Drosophila melanogaster: one gene and its partner. The protein of the gene in region 2 interacts with the protein of the main gene of each other region in a pairwise test. Each region holds a gene or a part of one and is shown on either strand. Other genes may lie near its edges.

What was found. The genes of interacting proteins can lie anywhere in the genome.
Region 1: the proteins of Nep3 (region 2) and Nup133 interact in a two-hybrid assay, tested with the Drosophila melanogaster proteins (one large-scale study listed by BioGRID).

The regions. Positions count from the first base shown.
Region 1 is NT_033777.3:22,688,687-22,695,272, reverse strand, and holds Nup133 (nucleoporin 133kD), read right to left. Parts: upstream 4,667-6,586; 5' UTR 4,574-4,666; coding exon 4,398-4,573; intron 4,343-4,397; coding exon 4,168-4,342; intron 4,108-4,167; coding exon 3,604-4,107; intron 3,553-3,603; coding exon 3,240-3,552; intron 3,185-3,239; coding exon 2,346-3,184; intron 2,276-2,345; coding exon 1,597-2,275; intron 1,527-1,596; coding exon 985-1,526; intron 922-984; coding exon 547-921; 3' UTR 501-546; downstream 1-500. Other genes in the region: cd (cardinal), read right to left, coding at 80-246; wfs1 (wolfram syndrome 1), read left to right, coding at 4,977-5,040, 5,100-5,198, 5,256-6,586. UniProt on the Drosophila melanogaster protein: Probable component of the nuclear pore complex (NPC). Plays a role in NPC assembly and/or maintenance.
Region 2 is NC_004354.4:19,959,469-19,964,323, reverse strand, and holds the start of Nep3 (neprilysin 3), read right to left. Parts: upstream 3,028-4,855; 5' UTR 2,724-3,027; intron 2,636-2,723; exon of another isoform or gene 2,479-2,635; intron 1,149-2,478; exon of another isoform or gene 983-1,148; intron 370-982; coding exon 253-369; intron 1-252. UniProt on the Drosophila melanogaster protein: Metalloendoprotease which is required in the dorsal paired medial neurons for the proper formation of long-term (LTM) and middle-term memories (MTM).

The sequences.
Region 1 (6,586 bases), on a different chromosome or scaffold from region 2:
ACAATTTAGAGCCTATAGCAATAGTTTCTAAGGATAGGTGTTCTTTTGCCGCAGTTCCAACTCTTCGTTTCACACTCACATAAAGGTGATGCCCATGCAGCACTGGAACTGTCGCATCTTGTTGCGTCGCGCACGCGGAGAAACACCACCCGGAAAGACACGCTCCGGTCCCTGATACGGCGGCAGGACAACATATCCGGAGCCACTGGGAACGGCATCGGTAAGCGGCGTTGTTTCGTCCGTCATAATCAAAGTTAAACTGATGCGCACCGGCGACAAATGCAAACAGCACAGCTGCCAGTCAGGCCGACTCTAGAGTTGCCCCGAACACACTTGGTGGGCTTCCGACTCTCCGTTCGCCACACTTCAGATACTTTCGCCGGCAGAGACCGGCTGTGACAAAGCAACTTAGTTTATAATATTTTATAATGCCTGCGTTTGAGCGACGCAACAACAAGGCAGGCAACTGTCCACCGTCCAAGAACACCAGCCATCATTTTAAATTCTTAACGTAAACTTTAATAGAAAGACATGTGAGGTGCTTGATTAGAGTTCCATGTCGTCTGGCTGTTTGAACATGTCGGCCACATACTCATAGGTCAGTTTCAACAGATACTGAAACGGTTTCTGCTGCGGCAAATCGCCGAGCTCCACGCTCTCCAGAAAGTCTTCCATGGGTGGCAAAACGTTCTCGGAATCGTTGCCCATCAGCTGCGAGATTTCGATGATCTTGTAAAAGAGCAACTTCTGCATGTAATGCACCGCATTGTTGGGATCGTAGTCCGTCCAGTTATCGCGTTTTATAGCTGCACACCAGATCTTGTGCCGCATGTCGTACGGCTGTTCCACGTAGCTCAGAAGTTCCAAAGCTTTACGGAATTCCGTTTCGCTGGCAGTTTCATTTTCCTCGGCGATGTAAAGCTAATGATAATAAGACGGTAATATTTATAAGTGAATTAAGTATATTAATTTGTGAAATCTTACGCTGATAATCTCCTCTGCCTTGAGCACCTTCTGTTCTGCTGGATCGAAGCCAAAGCTTTCCAGTACGTCATGGCCCAGTTGCGATTGATATTCGACCAGCGTAAGATCTGCGTTGATCTTTTCAACTTGGGCAGTTAAATCGGATTCGGCTGCCGCGAAGGCGGCCAATTTGGCCAGCGACAGCATAGACTTCTTGCGCGCCACAAACTCCGTTTCGCATTGGGCCAACTCGTACAGCACCTTGGCCGCCCGCTCGAAGTCGCCGTTGAATATTAGCTGGATCCACCCAAGGGACGGATGGTCACGCATGAACTGAGCCAAAGCCGTCTGGTTGCCCTTGAAGCGTTCGAATACCTCGCCGTGCCGGTTCTGGCGCAGATGCCAATTGATGGCAAACTGTGAGAAGTCATATTCCTCGTACTTGCGGGTGTAATCTTCCAGTCGCTCCTTGTCCTGCGTCTCATCGCAGATAAGCACCAGGCTCTGAAAATCGAGGTACTTCTCGGCGATCTTTGCGGCGTACTCGTATTGGCGATCTTTGACTACAAAATAAAAAAAAAGACATAAGAAATATTTAAGAATTTTAAATTATGAATAGAATACACAACTTACTTAGCACGGAGATGAGTTCCCTTCGCTGAGCCTCAAACTGCTGCTGCAGAACATTGAACTTTTCCGTGTCGCGCACGCTTTTTAAGTAAGTCTTCCGTCCGTCCAAAACCAAATCAATTAGTTCGAATATCTGTTGGTACAATTGCTGCTTTAGCTCAGTCTCGCTAACGCAGTGGCTGCCATAGCGAACGCTAATGTCAATGAGGCGAGTCAGCGTGTCACGAACTCCCGCACTGCCAGCCATCGCAGTCCAAGGTAGATTCTCGTAGGAAGGTAGTTTTTCGTGGCTCAGTCTAAAGCTGCTTGCGTGCTGCTTTCGATACTTGAACACTTGTCCCAAAACGTCTAGGACAATGGAGTTTATCTCGTTGACAAAGTGGGCCACTGATATGGTGGTCTGATTCTGAGCAGCGATTCGATCGTCAGCAATATCCGCCAGGGCCTCGAACACGTTTTGAAACCTAGACAGCTTTACGTAAAATATATCCTGGTAAGTTAGGCTGCCCTGAGGCTCCTCATGCCATAACGCTACGGTGGCATCGATAGCCTCTTCAATCAGCTTGGGCAGTTTGGTCTGAATGGATCGCAGAGCCATAGCAGCCACTATCTTCTCGCTGATATCGGCTAGAATACAGCCGGTGGGTTTCAGCGAATGGCTTCCGCAAGGTATGACATTTAACTGGAACGAAAAGTATTGATTTTGTTAACAAAATCAAATAAATAAACAAATAAATATTTTGTCCTTATACCTTGTCCCAAACTAAACTGGAATGCAGAAACGTTATGAAGTGCTGGAAAGCAATGATCTTGTCCCTTAGTTGGTTGATAATCTGCATTGAACGAGAGCTGCCGATGGCATGCCTATTCATTTCCTGATCTGCAAGTGCCTCCTCCCATCGGGGATCGGCTATTGGTATATCCTCCGCCAAGTCTTCGGCGATGGTAATAACAATTCGATCCAACTTGTAAGCATCCATGGGTGCACCACTTGGATCGGCTGCAGTGACATTACGAAGCAGCTCATCGACGATCGTCTTGACCATATTGCTGTTGCGTTTCATGTGATATAGGAACGCTGCCTTTAGTTGACCAACTTCATCGCTTAGTTCGTTGTACATTTCATCCGGATCCAGTTCGAAAAGGTGAAGATTATTAGTACTGTTAGTCAAAGCAGAATGATCGGCAACTGCGAAACTAGCATTACACGAATTGGGAGCATATAAATCTGGCGTGTTGCAGGAGCTCATGTTCATCATTTCAGTACCATCAAAATCGCCCGGTGTAATAGAAACTAGGCCATGTGTGCGACTAAAGAACAATGGCAATTGGCTGCAGATGACGGCACTCAAAATGCGATCATCGTGCTGATGGAACTCGATCTTTTCCGCCTCTAGCTCTGCTGTCGGCACCGAGTTGGTCAAGTGCAGAGGATACACAACTTTAGAAGTATACAAATAGATGTGGCTGCTGCCTACTACAAAACGCACGCTGAGGCAATCCTCCTCAGTCTTGGCACTAAAGAATTTGTTCATATTGAGCGGCGTGAACGATTCCAGAAGCATTCTTTCAGCTTGAGCAGTGCCAGTCACTAAAATACTTAACATTATATACCATATCAAGATTTGCTGTCACATACTTCTTACCCAGAGCGTAGCACATTTGTGGAGCGTGAGCAGCATTCACAGCTCCAGCCAGTATATAAGCTTTGTTCTTAACCACGTGAAAGTCCAACAGATGGAGATCGATCTCCAAACTATCCGCTGGGAGTCGGAACTTCCAAAAGTTCGTTATAAACTCTTCGCGTATCCTGCGCAACATATCCGCATCCTCGTACAGAAGGTTTTCGGTGTTGCCATTGTTGGACAGACTCCAGCGCTGGATTGCACGATCAGAGAGCACGGCCACAATGGTTTCTCCACTTTCTAAATTGCTCTCGCAGCACATGCCGACCAAAGTCTAAAAAACACTTCATGAGATTTTTGTCCCATGCTGGACGAAGATACTTACTTGATCCTTGTCTGCACCCGTGTTCATTCCAATCAAAATGGAGGCAAACTTTTTGCCAAAACCACCAAGGAAGCTAGTGGCAGGCTTGATAGTCTTATGGTGAAGTGTGTAACGTCCGTTGGTCAGTCCGACTCGCAGGAATACCAGATTGCAGGTGGTTGTAACGGCTAGGTAGCCCTGCTGCGTTGGTAGACTGAGCAGCTGGACAAACTCTTGGCCAGTTAAGATGGAAAGATCCACGGAGTTCCCATCGTGCGCAATCGATGACCAGTACCGAACTTCTCCCGTGGCTGATACCGCTATGCAGGAGGCCATTTGCTGACCCTCCGTCTGGAAAACACTGATTAAATCACTCTTGTGACCCAGGTCACTGTAAGGTAAAGTCAATTCACGGCACTGGGCCAGACCACCACCACGTCTTGCCAGTTTGCCCACACGAGGTGGCGAGCCCGACTTGGCCGTGTCCTTATACTGCCAAATCAAGAGGCGTCTGCCTTGGACAACCTGAAAAGGTAATCGTACTGATTGCTGAACCAGATACAATGAGAGTTGCTGATATATTACCCAAGCCCAACCGTTTTGCGTCACTTTGGCTGTTACTGTGCCCGCTCCTGGACCTGCGAAGGTTAGTGCCTCATTGACCACCACCGGCAGTGGACAACCGAAGCTCTCTACCGAATTGTAATCGGATCGGATGCCGGCAATGGACTGAGTGGAACGCACCGACAAGCTGAGCCGGCTGAAAAGGATTGTTTGATGAGTGGGAAATTCCAGGAGAATAAGTTAGCACATACCTGTTGGTCAGGGCAGTCCTTTTGAGGCTCCCCGACATCTGGGCGCAACTGGCGCTGCCGCCAAAAATTGATTTACGCGTGCTGTCTGCCGAGGCTGCTGGCATGCTGTACCTTCGTGCACCTGGTGAAGATTCGCGCGATATGCCGTATAATTGCTTCTGCAGATTTCTCTCCATTTTTGTGCTGGCTCTTATTTGGGAAATGCCTATAAATCAAAAATAAACAACTACTTTTGCAACAGCAAACAATCTAGCCGGCATGTGTGTGAATCGATTTTTGATGTCGCAATATCGAAATCACAGCTGAGTACATTTGAGTTATTTATCGATTAGAAGTCACGACATTATACACAAAGAACACAAATTTAAATATAGGAAATTATTTATACTACATAAATGTATTTTATATACTATATACGATGAATAATTAAACTTTGGTAAACAAATTTTTAAATTAATAATTATATTAACTAATATTTGTGAGTCCATCTCTAAGACAAGTTCTACACGATGCCATCGCTAAGTCAAGACTAGAATTATTTCATAGATTTTCGTAAACAAAGCGAAAAACTCGACATAGATGGCCACCTGGACGCAAAATGAGCCGACAGGTGTCACCAAGCGCAGGCGTTGGAATCTGGAAGGTAAATCTCTGAGCTTTGATTGATACACGTTCATAAAGTGAAGATGTTTTCCCTTACAGATCGTGCCTCCTTGAACAAACTTAAGCATCACATCGCCGAGGAGGGATGCCCCCAGATGCAATACGATCTGGCCAAAGAGTTACTCGATAATTCCATAGGTGAGTGTAAGGATTTGCTCGAGAATTACAAGATAATGAAGATTGCTATGTCCGCAGTAGAGCCCAATCTTGCCAAAGGCAATCAGAGCCAGAAGGCCGTCAACTGGCTGGTGAGTGCAGCACACAATGGACACGAGGATGCAGTCAAGCTGCTACGCCAGTGCTACAACGATGGCAGCGGTATTACGGCAGAGAATACGGACGAAGTGCGTCGCTGCCTGGCTATGACGCCTGGTGAGCGGGCTGCCAGAAAAGCAGCCCGGGAGCTTTTTGCCTGCCTATCAAATGGAAACGAGCATATAACGCCCAAGCAGCTGGAGCGCAAAATGCGGCGCATCTACAATCTGCAACGCAAGCGGCGTCGACGCGATGATGACCGCTCCTCGTCGAGCAGCGAGGGCGAGCAGGAGCCGGAGTGCGAACCGCTCGAAGATGTGCCCACCATTGACCTAGCCAATGTGGAGCGACGCCGCCTCATCACCGAAGCTCACCTCGTTTCGGCAGCTTCCAATTACAGTGCCGGACAAATGCCCAGCGTTAATGATGCTCTCACATTATCCGTCCCGGATCCTAGGAGCTTGGACCATGTACCCTGCTTCTACCGCATGATCTTCCACCCGCTTATCTTCTTCACCCTGTTCTACCACCGGCTGCTTAACTTGATTGTGTCCATACCCAACGTCATCCCTCTGAGCGTGCGCTGCAGCGTGCTCGTTGCAATCTCTTGGTGGAGCAGCCGGCATATGCTGCCCCTGGTCAGCTATTATCTCAGTCTGGGCATCATGATCTGGGCCACGTGTAAGATGCTGAAAACCAAACAACAGTTCGTGGACTTTCGCATCTGGTCGGGACTGTTCCTGAGCTACGGGGATCAGAACATCGAGGCGGACATTGCGGAGCATCGCTTTTTACGCAACAATATGAAGCCGTACCTGTACTTCTTTTGTGCCTTCATTTGCAACCTGATTGTCTACCCGTTGGTCACAGACGCCTGGCTGCCACACTCGGAGCTGACTATAATCTCTGGAGCCTTGACCTTCATCACCATGTGCGTGTCCATGTACGCCTCCTCCCACCAACTGCCTGACTGGCTAGTGATTGTTTCCTTTGCCGTAAATGTTCTTGCCAAATATCCGTACGAAATGGACGAGGTTGTGTCTACGCGCTGGCGCTTTCTTGACCTACGCGTACCTACTTTCTCATCGTTTGTCATTGGCAATGGCATTGAATTCTGTTTGAATTGCCGCACTGCCTTGTATCTCTTTATTCCGGTGCTGCTAATTATGATGGCCAAACGCTCCCGTTGGCATGGAGTCTACACATTCCTCATCCCGCACTGCGTCACGCTCAGTTGGCTGCAAGTGTGCATAGCCACCTCGCAGAGTTCC
Region 2 (4,855 bases):
ATAGGGTATTCATGTCAGTTCGCAGAGGGAAAAGCTCACACCAACGCGCTCCCACTCATAAGAGCAGACTTTTCACTGTCAACTGGCAACCTTCGAGCAAATGAGAAAAGCGCTCACTTTGGCCCCATTTGCCACTCGTTTCTGGGTCATTGCCACAAAGATAAAGCTGAAGCCCAACGACAACTAAGTGGCTATCCGACTGAATTGCATTGCACGGATGCACGGTGTTACCCCGACAGGTTTCTTACATACCCGGGCGGTGTGGTAGCGTATCTGCATGCCCGTATGGCCGGTCGCTTCGTTCAATTGAATGCCGCCGATGGAACTCGAGTCGTCCTCCGTGAATTCGGTCTGCTTGTAGCGCGTCATCTGGAATGAGAATCGAATTGTTGCAAACCCATCAAATTGCCTACCAACGTGTATCTAATAATCTAAATATGTTGCTGCTATCTGTTATCACATGTTTTGGTCTAGGGCATCTGATAAGTAGACCGAAGCTTTTCCGCTCGGATTGTATAGATACCGTGCGTTCTTTAGCGCTCACTCAACGCCTTGTGCTTTACATTTCTCTCACATCCCCCACTGCTGCCCATTTTCATATGGTGCTCTATGTACTCAAAAGTGTTAACCCTTCAGCAGTCAGCAGAGCATTCCAAGTTTACGATATGCCTTGGGTTTTCAGAAAATGTGCATTCATCATAGGAACAATTTGCAAATTACCCAAACTATATGGAAATATAGAAATAGAAAAAGGTAATGCACAACAACTTAAGAGAAATATATGTATAATTTTGTACTAAGAGTTCCTCGTAATCTTTGGACTATTTTTACTCGCTATCTAGATATCCATTCGAAAGAAATCGCGAAGTCTGAAACATGAACATGAACAAAACCCATTCTCAACCACTTGTCAGCATTCCATGTCTAACTAAGGTGCCCAACTAAAAGTGAATGGGATACAGGAGCTGAAGCACGGACATACCGAACGGCAGTCGGAAAGCCACATTTTGGTTAATCTTTGTGTATGGGGAGAGCACGGTATGCGGTAGTGTGTTTATTTTTCGGAACTTCGACGGGAGGAGCTATACGAAAACAGAGCGCGGCAACGATACTATCTGTGCTTAGCCCATGACCGCTCGCAAGGCACTGGCGGTCGAGCCCGGAGAGCTTCGGAACTCAGGGACTGCGAGTTCCGAGTTCTGCGACCAACCAATTCAACAATGCCCGCCGAAAGCAGAAAACATCTACGGGCCAACGGCGCGTTATATTGGATAGTTTTGCATTGTACTCAAATTAATTGACTGGCGGCTGTGTGCGTGTTTACTGCGGCAATATGTGCCAAGATGTAGCCGAAATGGATATACTGGGCGCATTAAAATGAAAAGGAGCGGCATATGTATTCAATTAACACAATGCAAATATACACCAAAAGATTCGGCCTTGCTTATGTGCACTTCTATATATCTTCTATATCAACCCACCCATTTTCGGTATGCCGAATAATATTCTAATGTCGATTTGGGATCGGGGATCGGAAAGGCGCCATATGATATGATTTCGCACTCGATCTTGTTTGCCAACAAATTGGTATCTTTAAGCTTTCGATATAGATTTACGAACGTAATCTGGTGTCGGACAACAAGCGATATAAATAACATATGATGGATGGGGGCGATATGATATTGCAGGTATACAATAGGTATATAATACACGTGAAAATGGATGGGCCACATAGAACCACATTTAAAAACACATTAAGCAAGAGGTATCCCTCAGTTTGGACTGCTTCTCGCCACGATTTTCCATCGCAATGTAAACACAGGCTGCACACCAACTGACATTTAGCAGACTGTTGAATGTAAACACGCATTAAATGGCGTTACGCCTAACGAGCCCTCCTTTTGCCACCAATCAAATCGGCTAATGTATTGAAAAACAAGGAGGTAGAAAACCATTGAAAGGTTCGACTTAATGGGCAAATCAACGGAATTGACGTCTTAATACTTTTATGGGAAATATATTAAGTTCATAACATGATTGAATATGATGCAACTTTAGGTCCCATTGAAAATGATTAACTAAGTTATTATATACCTTAGTCTTATGCTCGAAATAAGGATATTTCACTCAACCATTTACTACGACTATTCTACCAAAGCGTCCATCCAAGGGAGTTTTAATGAACCGAACGGAGCCCATGTGAAAGTCAATGATGGCTACTTCGGATTCTCCGAGTTCATAAACGGCTCTTCATGCCATTTTTTTTGCAGGGCAACAGATGATAACTGCAGGGATTCACCGAATCACCACCACAATGGGATTTCACTTGAGCTGCACTGAGTTGAAATCTGGTAGAATGAGTGCTCTCGACTCGTCATTATCTGTCGTTATGCCACCTCCTTTCTCGATTTGGCTGCGAGTATCCTGGCTATTTGGTATACCATATGGTAGCTACTTCATTTGTGCAGCTTTCCTTACAATTTCTCTATACCAAGGACCATAAAATCGGAGCAGCTTAGATGTGTGAGTGGTGAGAGGGTGGTGTGCCTGGGATGCATTTATTCAAATGCAAATGAAATTATGACTTTGAATCGGACTGTTTGGAAGTGGTGTGGTGTGGTGGGGTGGTACTTCTGATTGCACATACAGCACACTCACACACTGACACACTCACACACACACACACACACGTTCAGCAAAAGAGAGGCGCGCTCTTGGCCTACCTTTGCGCTCATTTTCTTTGTGCGCTAGAAAGAAGGCAATGCAACTTTTCCAGCTCCCTGCGCTCGCTTTTTCTCGACCCTTTGCCGTTTATTGGTGCACTTTCGATTAAGTTTGGCCGACCCTCGATGGGTATAACATTCGATCGTTCAGTGATTCATTTAAAACGCGCTTATCTGCATTCCGCTCGCGGTCAAACAAACCGCTCTGAGCCACAAAAAGGCAACGGTATCCACCAACACTGCCAACTCGAGCCACTGACAGCCAGCTCCAGCACCAGCAGCAGCGGTAATCGCACTCGAACTAGCCTTTTCTCTCCAAATTTCACTCGGCGCTGGGAGTCGGGTGGTTGGACTCCCTCGAAAATGGAAAAACCATAACACAAACGTATTAGATGAGCAAAACACACACAAACAGAGAGAGAAATGCGTGGCAGGAGGGAGCGAGTTGAACCCATTGCCGGAGAACGTGGTCCACTGCGCAGGATCTGTTTGAACGGTGGCAACGCTTCGCGCAACGAGTTGCCAGACAATCACAGTGCCCTTCAACAAGCTATCGGTTTAACCCACGTAATCGAGTATCCAAAGCTAACGATTCTCGTAATTCTCAATTAATCAGCTAAATTTGAATACCAGTTACTCGTAGAGTAGAAGGTTATACTAGATTCGTTAAAAAAGCATTGTAACAGGCAGAATGAAGCGTTTCGAACTATATAAAGTATATATATTCTTGATCAAGATCAATAGCCAAGTCGATCTAGCCATGTCCGTCTGTCCGTATCTGTCCGTATCCGTAGATCTCAGGTACTATAAAAGCTAGAAGATTGAGATTCAGCATACAGCTTCTAGAAACAATGAATCCTGTGCGAGCAATGGCTATGAATAATGAACGTCAATGAACATGTCAGTCGAATGACAAAGTCACTATTCAATTTCACTATCTTCGGCAAAGCAGTAAAAATACAAGCATAAGGTATTGAATAGTCCATTAGCATAACCCTATCGGCCGACCTAAATTGCTTTACGTCACAACTGAGAAAGCAAACAATTCGCACATGCCCACCAATTGTATTGTGAGGCTTTTCGTTTTCTACATACATGTATGTACATATGTATATGTATGTTTGTATGTATTTTCCGTCGAACGGTAGCCACAACGTACCTGCATTGTTTGCCCGCCTCCGAACGCCACTCACCTGAAAAGTGCGAAACGGACGGACAACAATACACACATATATAAATATATATATATATATATATATTTGTTTATTTATATGCATATACAACATGCATATGTTAATATTTAGAAAAATATGTATGCAAAATATACTTGGTCATAAAAGATCAACGAAGGTTCGAATACAATTCGGGCGATCATCAAAGCACTGTGACTCGGCATTCCCCATTCGCCAGAAGATCTATGTACATATATGTATGTATGTATGTATCTCGACTTCTGGGGCAAACCAACATGGGAGCACACCTTAACCCAAAATGACCCCGGCCCGTGTCGTGCATATCATTAATGACCCAACCAATTATCGTGTTCTATACAGCAAAAAAAAAAAAAAAAATAACATCTCGACACTCGAACATGAAAGCACTTGAAGTTGCGTGTTCTCGTTTGGGAAAATAAAGTACGACCGCGGTTTTATGTTCTTTGATCGAAAAGAAAATAATCTCATCTGCATGTGGAACAAATAAACGATGAATGGATATGAACAATAAGAAGAATTAATACCACTAGTATAGCTAAATTTTATTTTGAGGATTCCTTAATAAAGCAGACGCAAATTAATTGAGAAAAGTGCGTCGACTAAAAGATACCCATTACCTGCAGCTAACCGAAACTATTTTGTTAATCTCAAGTCACAAGTCATATCTAATTACAGAGTGAGATAAATACAGGTTGTAAACTTGTAACAGAGAAAATTTTTGTGCAATTCGACTATATGATACCTAGTGGTAATATTTTACCCAAAAAGATTTAAGATGTTTAATCTGTTGTTTCGATTTTCGATTTCAGTGCTAAATAAAGTGCCTATTTTGATCATACCCCACCGAAACTACAGCTCCATTCAAATTGAGTAAATAAACACCAAATAATATGACTCAGGGCAGCAGAAAATCGCTAT